2 separate regions of the Mus musculus genome follow, and region 2 is reported to be linked to region 1. The links are microRNA targets in miRTarBase. Many come from high-throughput screens and were not tested one by one. Region 1 holds a microRNA gene; the other region holds the end of a gene's coding sequence.
Evidence for each region. The annotated mature microRNA mmu-miR-202-5p reads UUCCUAUGCAUAUACUUCUUU and lies in region 1 at 1,710-1,730, opposite strand. An mRNA with a match to its seed (bases 2 to 7 or 8) in the 3' UTR can be bound and repressed. Matches are read on the target gene's strand: a 7mer-m8 pairs with bases 2 to 8, a 7mer-A1 pairs with bases 2 to 7 and ends in A, and an 8mer does both.

Region 2: the mRNA of Moap1 is a reported target of mmu-miR-202-5p. Seed matches in the 3' UTR shown: 7mer-A1 at 1,052-1,058 and 7mer-A1 at 2,481-2,487.

What each region holds. Positions count from the first base shown.
Region 1 is chr7:139,956,023-139,961,095 of GRCm38, forward strand. Mir202 (microRNA 202) reads right to left here and starts at 1,738; the gene lies at 1,667-1,738. The region is part of intron 1 of Gm16201 (a long non-coding RNA gene); the gene reads left to right. It overlaps Mir7686 (microRNA 7686), which reads right to left and starts at 1,600; the gene lies at 1,544-1,600.
Region 2 is chr12:102,737,442-102,742,514 of GRCm38, reverse strand. It overlaps Moap1 (modulator of apoptosis 1), which reads left to right. Exons shown (of 2, transcript NM_001142937.2): 2 at 1-2,685. The coding sequence ends at 285. It overlaps Gm20604 (predicted gene 20604), which reads left to right. Exons shown (of 2, transcript NM_001142939.1): 2 at 1-2,685. Among named protein-coding and RNA genes, the nearest start is that of Moap1, 3.7 kb to the left of the region's middle.

The DNA.
Region 1 (5,073 bases):
GGTTTGACCCACACTCTCTTTGCTCCCTGGAGCCCCCAATCTCCCCAGATCTGCAGTGTTCCCATAGGCAAGGAGGATCCAGCCCCTCCCCATTCCTTAGTCATTATGCTCAAGGCTTATCCTAGACCCTGGGGCCCACCCTCCAAATCTCTCCCTCCTACTGTGCTAGCCAGAACCTGGGGAAAGAAGCCAGGTGCGTTCCCTCCTGCTGGGAACCTTCTCAATGTGTTCTCTCCTCTTTCTGCCCCCCCCCCCCCCGGCCCCATATTCTGGCAGTGGCCATGATGGGTGCCCACTGGTGATAATTCAGGAGGTTAAGGAACAAGTGAGGCACAGCCTGGGGTAGATGTGTGTGGGGCGTTGCTAGTAGACAGAACTAGGAGCTGCTTGCTAAGGCTGACAGGATGAAGGTCCCACACCCTCCAAGACCAGTGGCTCAACTTGGCAGCTCAGCTCACAAAGGCTTATTTTCCTCATCCATAAAGACTACACACACAAGTCTCCCAAGTTCCTAAGAGTCTGACCCTCTAAATAGTGAGCCAGCTTAGGCCATCCCCAGGGAAGGTCCTACCAAGGATCCTGGGAATCCTCACGTTTATACACTTAGATCACAGCTTCCAGTCTGTTCCCTTGATGCCTCATCCCTTGATGTGGCACTCCCATTGTCCTTCACACCAACGTGATGTCATCCAGCGTAACTCCCTCAATGTGATGCTACCAATGTCCATCCACCCAGTGTGACATCCCTCACCCCCTCCCCTCATATGACACTCCATGTGACAAACCCCAGTGTGCATCCTTCCCTTGATGTGAAACCTTCCCTTGTAATACCCACATGTACTAACTCTGATATCTCAATGTGACACTTTCAGTGTGGCCCAGGTGATGTCGCTCCCCACAGCATGATGCATGCCCCCCCCAACACACACATATCAGACCACAATCATGGGGGATGGGGAAATGCAGTGTAGCAGAGCAGCTTGGTCCAAACATTTTATTTTCATCAGCTTTTCCTGATTTTCATCTTTTTTTCAGTTCTGGAAACTGAACCCAAAGACCTCCTCCCTCGTGAGTGGCAAGCATTCTGCCACTGAGTGTTAAAAAAAAATCAACCACACCCATCATGATAAAAATGTAATCATGGTGCGAAGCAATTACACAAACTGAATCCTGGAGCCCACTGACCCCTCAGCTGGTCCTTATACCTCCTCCAACATCAGACCCGACGTCATCCACTAGTGTGAAAATGTGGTCACACTGATTTCACACTAAAGAAAATTTCATAAGGAAAATTTCAAAGATCAAGTCCTGAGCCTATGCGCCTCTTCTAAGGTCCCTAGAACTCAGGATTGCTTAAGCACGAACTCAGATCTGCTTCAGTTCCTGTCCCAACACCCTCTGTAAAACCTCGGATAGGTCAGATGTGCCCCTCCATTCTATCCCAAGCCCTCCATTTTAACACCTGAACAACCGGATCCCAAGATCCGCTTGCGTAGGAATCACTGTTCCCTGGAAGACTCGGGAAAGGCAGTGCGGCTCTTCTTCTCTTACAGTGCCCCGAGCAGACAGGAAAGCGCCCAGCCCCAGGTCCAGTGGAAGGGAAGCAGAAGTCGCCTGGTCAGGAAGCAGATGCTAATGACTTTGTTTGGGTGGGGAAGATCTCACTGCTCCATCTTCCCATGCGCTATACCTCTTTAGACCAGATCCACAAAGAAGTATATGCATAGGAAAAAGGAACAGCCAGCGAGAATGTGCGGGCCATCATTTGATACTTGCAAGCAGCAGCAGTCACCAGAAGGATTGATCCCCTGCAAAAGACAACCAGAAAAAGCTTAGAGCTAAGGCCAGGGACAGCAGGCATTGCCATTCTGTGAAGTGATAAAAGAGCCCCACTAAGCTTGGGCCGTGTCCCCGGAGGCAAACCAGCCTTACCTGGGTCCAGACTGCTAGTGGCCTGAGAATGAGACAGAGCTTGGAAGCAGTGTCAGAGGACTTGGCTGTTGCTCGGTGAAGTCCTGCTGCTTGCAACCCAGGCACCCCTTTTATACACGGCTGAGACCTTGGCCAGCGCAGTCCCATGTGGTCAGAGAGCTGCTCCGTGCCAAGGACCCCGTCTCACCCCCCGCACGTGCGAGGCTGGGGCACAAAGACCTGGTGTGAATAAACAGGTCCTTTGCAAATAGGGCCCCCAGGGTAGGGGGCTGCTGGCCCAGGAACTGGGATAGGGCCAGCCCTGGCCAGCTGCCTCTCAACATTTTTATCTCTTGCTGGCGTCAGGGGCCCGGGAAATGCATACAGAGGAGCACTGATCATCCGGGGAGAAGGGCACTCCTCCTCCTGGACCTGCTCAGCTCAGTGATAGCTGTGTCTCTGGGTGGTTCTGCAGCCCCGAGGCTGGACTTTGCTAGAGGCCAGGCTTGAGGCCTATAAGACAGTGTCTCATAACTGTCCTCTATTTAGCTGAAAACCGAGACTCAGACTCTTGCCCCTGGGAAGCTCCCAGGAAGCCCCAACTGGACAGACCTCTGGTGGCTTCTGTACAGAGGGTCCAGATGGGTGCTGACCAGGAGCCCAAGACCCATGGAGGGTGTTCTGTGGTACAAAGGGGGCATAGGCCTTGTCCCTTTACCAGAACTCCCATTGGGGCATAGAAGACATGGTTGTAAGGTTTCATGAGCAAGAAACCATGTCCAGCATAGAGGGGAGGGGGGGCTCCTTAGAGACATCAAAGACCCAAGGATACCCACACAGAGACTGCACAAAAATGCCATGCCCTAGGGTCTCATGGACTACCCCTGCTGAGCCATCTCTCCAGAATGTGGGTAGTCAGAGGCTGTTAGGGAGTAGAGGGCTCCATGCTTCCATTCCTGGGCCCGTCTGTGTGGTTCTTTGTTCTGCAGACCCAGATCCCAAGTACAGCAGACATCCAGACACATACACTGCTCCTTACCCAGGCTGGGCAGCTCAGCTCTTCAGTGTGTCAATGATAGCTGGTCAGTGCCAGCCATGGCTAGGAGATAGCCAAACCCACATGACAAACGTCTATAGTATTCGGAGGAAGGTCACACTGCCTTACTAAGGCAAGACTAAGGTTGCATCTGTAACCGTGAGTCCAGTGAGCCTCAGCATAGCCCTTGGGTAGCCCCCATTCTCCTGGGGAAAAGCAGAGTCTGGCCCAGGTTCTGAGAGCAGCGGACAAGGACAGAACCCTGGAAATGGGCACATACAAGAAAATCCAGGGAAGGCCAATAGCTCAGAGCCTTCCTGACAATGCCCGGGATGGAGCTCAGACCATGGCACGGTAGCACAGGGCATGAATACTTGAGAACTACAGAACCTGGACTGTCATAAGGGCTGGAGTTTAAGGCAATCTGGGGACTCTGTGGGTGACAGGATCCAAAACCATATCGCTCTGAGAGCCATCTCCTACCTCATGCCCATAGACCTGGGCTTTTTGGCCATGAGAAAGGTCAGTGGTGGCTGATAGGCATTATAAAGAGTGGCTAGGGGCCGGAGAGATAGATGGCTCAGCAGTTAAGAGCACTGACTGCTCTTCCGAAGGTCTTGAGTTCAAATCCCAGCAACCACATGGTGGCTCACAACCATCTGTAATGAGATCTGACGCCCTCTTCTGGTGTGTCTGAAGACAGCTACAGTGTACTTATTTATTATAACAATAAGTAATAATAATACAGTGTATTATTATTTATAATAATAAGTAAATATTTATCTAAAAAGAAAAGAGTGGCTAGAAGAGTAGGGGAGGGACAGACTGCTGAAGGTCTGGACCCAATGAGGCCTAGGCTAATCTGTCCTGGTGGAAAGTTGTTCCATAGAAAAAGAGGCATAGTAGCCCCAAGAATTTAGACATGCTGACATTCACACACACACACAGAGAGAGAGAGAGAGAGAGAGAGTGAGAGAGAGAGAGAGAGAGAGAGAGAGAGAGAGAGAATGGAGAGAGTATTTTTGGTTGTTTTGTTTTTCTTCTATGTAGCCCTTGCTGTCCTGGACCTCACTATGTAGACCAGGCTGGCCTCAAACTCTCAGAGATCCACCTGCTTCTGCCTCCCAAGCTCTGGGATTAAAAGCATATGCCACCATGCCTATCCTCAGACACATTTCTGAGTCCCCTGGGCTAGAGGAAGTGTTCTCTCAGGGATACTAGTTGGTAAGAGCCCCACTTTCAGATTTTTGTGGGTCTAAAAAAGAGCCCTCAGAACTAGCCTTCTGGCCCTGCGCCCAAAGGGCCCCAACAGAGGCCCCATCCATCCCCTTCTGCCTCCGTCTGGCACATCATGAAAGCTGCCTCCCATCTGCAGCTGCAGCTACAGTGCTCTCCCCAACCTTGGGCTATGGCCTCGGCCTCACATTTGCAAGAGGAATAGAAGAAATAAGACAAAGAGGAAGAGGGAGAGACAGGCGGGTGAGAGCACAGGGGGACTGAGACTCTGAGTGACAGAGACTGAGGAGAGGATGAGAGACAGAGGGGCCAGGGAACTGTGTGCTTTGCCTTTCCATACCTTCTCCCCTCCTCCAGATTAGAAAACCAACACTTGGTAATAGTAAGGCGATGCACAAGCCCAGAGGGGGGCTTCACACCACGAGAGGTGGAGTACAGCCCAGTGTGGGAACAGCTGTCCCTCTAAAGGTGCGTAAGGCACTGTCTTCTTCCTGGCCATTCAGCTGGACCTGGGGAGGACTGGGATTAGCTAGGTAGTTAACCCAGTATGTTTCCCACAGCCCATAAGGAGTTATGACTATTGTGGGGCTAACTGACCTGTGTTTCAGAGGCCTCTCTCAGGCTGCTGGGCTGATCTCACTGAAGAGCCAGGAGGTTAAGAGTGAAAAAGATTTTAGTTTGAGCCTGGCCTTCCTGGCCATGACTGACAAAAGGTCTTGTGACCCTTTCAAGAACTGGCTATCCAATGGGAATACCCATGGTTACCCCTATGCGAAGTTTCTCCCATAGCACCCCAGTTCCTTGAGTAAACCCTAAACCTATAAACGGGACTGCTAGGGCATGTTGAGGCCAGCTCCCACCCACCAATGGGCCCCAGCCTGAGATTCACA
Region 2 (5,073 bases), not on the chromosome of region 1:
ACTTATCAGAAGACTGATGAAAAGCTGTCTGCCTATGTTCTAAGGTTGGAGCCTTTATTGCAGAAACTGGTTCAGAAAGGAGCAATTGAGAAAGAAGTTGTGAATCAGGCCCGTCTAGACCAAGTCATTGCTGGGGCAGTCCACAAATCAGTTCGAAGAGAGCTTGGGCTGCCGGAGGGTAGCCCAGCCCCAGGCTTACTGCAGTTGCTGACACTGATAAAAGATAAGGAGGCCGAAGAAGAAGAGGTCCTCCTTCAGGCCGAATTAGAAGGCTATTGCACTTGACCCAAGACCCAAGGCTGTCATGAGCAGAACAAGATGGAAGAGCTCATTGCAGAGATCAGCCCATCCACTCTTTATGCTGCCAAAGTAACTCGCCCTTTGTCGTGTTGTTTACTGAATGTCTCCCCAATGTTTTACTGATAAAAATGATGTCATTCTACACTGATAATTATTTAAATCAAAAGACCATTCTGCTAGTACAGTGTCCCAGCAAGTCAAAAGTTTATATGCATGTTTAATAGTCATATGTGATGGTGCTATCAGTTATCAATAGTTTTCAGGTGTTGCCCACATTTATGCTGAAGACCCTGAGCCAAGGCTGGTTAAGATATTTAGTTTCTTTTATTAAAATCAGTTATCGATTCTGTGCAATCAAAAAGCACAACTGAATGCTGTGGTCAGTTCTACAACTAGTTTTAGGTTTGTGACTATCTGATATGTTGCCAAAACGTCTGCTTCTAAATATCATTTTCTTGGAGTAATAAAGAAATGATAATAAAATATTTGATCTTTGTATACATTGTAATACTACATTTGAAGGAAAATAATTTTTTGGCTTTGTTTTTAAGACAGTTTCTCTGTGCAGCTTTAGCTGTGCTGGAACCCACTCTATAGACCCAGGGTAGTCTCAAACTCAGAAATGTGCCTCCTGAGTGCTGGAATTAAAGGCCTGCACAACTACACTAGGCTGAACAAAAGTTTTTATAGTGTGAATCTGAAAGCCACTGAAATTACAGACTTAGTTCTTTGAACTCTTGGCACCTAGGGGATAGGAACTTGCTTGTTTGACAGGAACCAGACTATAAACAGATTGTGGCGAGTAGTAGGCCCATCAATATTGAATTTTGAGGGAGAAAGGGAAGATGAAGGTTTGTGTTTTTCCAACCCTGGTGCTACACACCTATAACCCCAGTGCTTAACAAGTAAAGCCAAAGTCAGGAAGACTGGCCTCTCAAGGCCAGCCAGAACTACAGAGGGAGGCCCTACCTCCAAAGAGAAAACTACATACAGGGAAACTAAGATCACCTGGGAAATGGATGTATGCCCAAGACGAAGCAGGCAGTAATGAGAGCTGTTCTGGTTCTTGCAAAGCTGCTGTTCTCTCTACTAAGGGAGGGAACTACACAAAGAATCAAGGCCAGACTGTCACCGTGTGTACATGTAGTCTTGGGAGTGTGATAGATTACTCTGAGTTAGGAATACATGGAAAGTTTCCTTATGTTCTCCACTGCAGAATGGCATGTGGACTCTTGAGAGCTGTGATTCTGCTCATGTTTGTATAGTGGCTTAAGATACATTATGCACTGTCCTGCAGGTCACTCATTTGCTGCCTCGGTGAGAAACTTTACATTTTGTATAGACACACAAGCATTAATAAATGCCACGCCTCTTCTGTATGTGAGACCCTAAGCTGAGGGGGTAAACTCGACAGGATAATCCCTGCTTTGAAGGTTTATTCAGACTCAGTATTAATGGCTGACATTGGATGTATCCTTGGCCAGCGACTAAGTACTAGCTGAAGAAGAAGCTGTCTCTTCCCACCTCCCATTTTATGAATAAGATGAGGCACAGAAAAATAACTTGTCTGTGGTTTTACAGGTAGTAATGTGGCTAGCCCCTGGCTCCAGGTCTTTTTATTCTGGGTAGATCATAGGCTCAGAGATCTTTAGGTGCTGGTCTTTGACGCATATATATATATATATATCCCATAACATTTGGCAGTGGTGGCAACAGACAGGTGGAGAAGAGTGCCACCTAGTGTTATAGCTCTAGGGGCCTAGGATGCTAGACCCTTAATTAAGCATTATAGATCTTGTGGAAGCCTCTAGTAACCCCACCCTTTGCTCTAAAATACTAAGTTATTGGGTAGACCTCATTACAAGTATTATAGCTGTTGTATAGACTTGGGAAGTTATTATTCCTTCGCCTTGCCAGTGTTAAATCGTACAGGTCTCGGGGTGTCTGAGACTTGTAAAAATCACAGAAGCTCTCTGAAACCTCCAGTGACAAGGGCCTGCTGGTTTTCATTTCCAGCTCTTTACAGCCTTCTCTCCTTTATCTCTGCCTCTTCGGTTGTCACAACAGCCAGCCACACAGCCATTTTCCAGCTCTGCCTGCCACTCCACTGTCTGCTGTTGCTGCCACTCTCCTGGCTTTATATTGCCATCTTAGCCTCACAACTAAGAAGTAAGCTAGAAATAGGAAAGGAGGGCTGGAGAGGTGGCTCCTCGGGTAAGAGCACCGACTGCTCTTCCAGAGGTCCTGAGTTCAAATCCCAGCAACCACATGGTGGCTCACAACCATCTGTAATGGGATCTGATGCTGCCTTCTGGTGTGACTGAAAACAGTTACAGTGTACTCATAAATAAAATAAATCTTTTTAAAAAATGGCAAGGAAACACTACTGGAGAGAATCTTTTATTGGGGAGGCAGCACAAGAGGTTATCTCCTGGGGCTGGTGAGATGGCTCAGGGGTTAAGAGTGTGACTGCTCTTCCAAAGGTCCTGAGTTCAAATCCCAGCAACCATATGGTGGCTCACAACCATCCTTAACGAAATTGGATGCCTCTTCTGGAGTGTCTGAAGACAGCTACAGTGTACTTACATATAGTAAATACAATAAATAAATAAATTTAAAAAAAAAAAGAGGTTATCTCCTAGCTGACAAAGTGAGCTCAACAGCCTATGAAGGCTAAGGAAGGGTGTTTGTGCCACTTTGAGAAAAACTTATATGTAAATGAAGAATTGTGTTTGCACCAATCACAGCCTTGTCTGAACACTAGCATCGCAGTCACTGCTAAGCTATCAGACAAACTCTCCTTCCTTGAAAATGGTTGCAAGGTCATCTAGGATTCACTGACGTTGTGCTAGCAAACATCTAGTAGAAGCTGACTTAGGCCTGGCAGAGGCTGTGCCTTGGGGAGCTGCAGTTGTGTCGTTTCAAGGTGTTCACACAGTGTTCCAAACAGTGATGTCATACAGATAGCTGGCTGGCTTTTGACAGCCCGCTTGCTCAAAGCAGCCAACAGTGGGTAAGTCCAGCAGCTGGTGATTGAGAAGTCAAATTGCCCCGTCAGCAGGAGTGCTTACAGTTTTGAAAGAAGAACAACTTATTAGCAGTGATTTTAGCCAAGCTCTAATAATGTTTAATTCCTGATGAGTGTTCCCACGGTCTCCTTTATCAAAGTGACAGGCCAGGATTTACATCGAGCCTGTCCATTGCCAGTCCTTGATCGTCATAAAGATTGATTTGTTTTTAATATTAGGTGGGTATGTGTGCGCATCATATTCATGCAGTGCCTGTGGAAGCCAGAACAGAGAGTGGTGGATTCCCCTGAGGCAGGAGTCAGACCGGTGTGAGTCATCATATGAATGCTAGAAACCGAACCCAGAACCTGTGCAAGAACAGTAAATGCCCTTCACTGTTGAGCCATCATTTCCTTGGCCCCCAGAGTCCCTTGTTCTTAAGCTGTTCTAGGTTAGCTTGTTAACTTCTCACAGGAGCCTGTCAAAAAAAATACAAAAACAAAAAAACAGTGTCCATTCTACAGACAGGAAGCTTAAGGTTCAAGAAGATTCAGTGCCACCGGGCAGTGGTGGCGCATGCCTTTAATCCCAGCACTCGGGAGGCAGAGGCAGGCGGATTTCTGAGTTCGAGGCCAGCCTGGTCTACAGAGTGAGTTCCAAGACAGCCAGGGCTACACAGAGAAACCCTGTCTCAAAAAACCAAAAAATAAAAAAAAAATTAAAAATCAATTCTAGATAATATAAATGTTTGCTTCCATGCACAAAAGCCATAAGAAAATCATGTAACTCTGGAACTGGAGTTACACAAGATTATTTGCAGCCATGAACGTGCTCAGAAGGGTCCTCTACCTGCTGCAGCAAATCCTCTTACCTGCTGAGCCACCTCTCCAGCCCACAGTCAGCTTTTCTTATGGTCTTCTGCATGCATCTGGTGAATACTATGTAATTGAGGAAACTAAAAGGATTTTTTTATTGGTTTATAAATTGAAAATAATAAAAGCACATATGCGCCCTTTAAACAGCCATGTTGAAACAATGGCACTAAAATGTCACATTGACATACTAGGACTTGAAGGGGAATTTCTTTTTGTTTAAGAAAGAAACTCTCGGGGGCTGGTGAGATGGCTGCTCTTCCGAAGGTCCAGAGTTCAAATCCCAGCAACCACATGGTGGCTCACAACCATCTGTAACAAGATCTGACTCCCTCTTCTGGTGTGTCTGAAGACAGCTACAGTGTACTTACATATAATAATAAATAAATCTTTAAAAAAAAAAGAAAGAAAGAAACTCTCAAAGAAATGAAAAGAAGGTGGTATTTCCATAGCCAGGGGACTTCCGGGAAGAGCTTCCTCACAGCCACAGAGTAAGCACCATAGTGTTAGTTCTAACCCAAAGTAAATTCCTGGGAGTTGATGTCGATGTAAATAACGATTGAATAAATATGGGAGAAAAGATGAATCTTTACAGAAGAATGTCAGATAATTCATGTGGCTGCTTTACCCTCTAGGAACTGTGTAAGTTACTTTCTGCTCCTGTGTTGAAAGAAAGAGGGCTTTTTTGTTTGTTTGTTTTTTGTTTAGGGCTCTGTTTTCTTGTTTGTTTTGTTTTGTTTTGTTTTGAAGACAGGGTTTCTCTGAGTAGCCCTGGCTGTCCTGGAACTTGCTCTTTCTGTACACCAGGCTAGCCTCGAATTTACAGAGATTTGCCTGCCTCTACCTCTCAAGAGCTGGGATCAAAGATGTATACTACCACTGCCCAGTTTTTG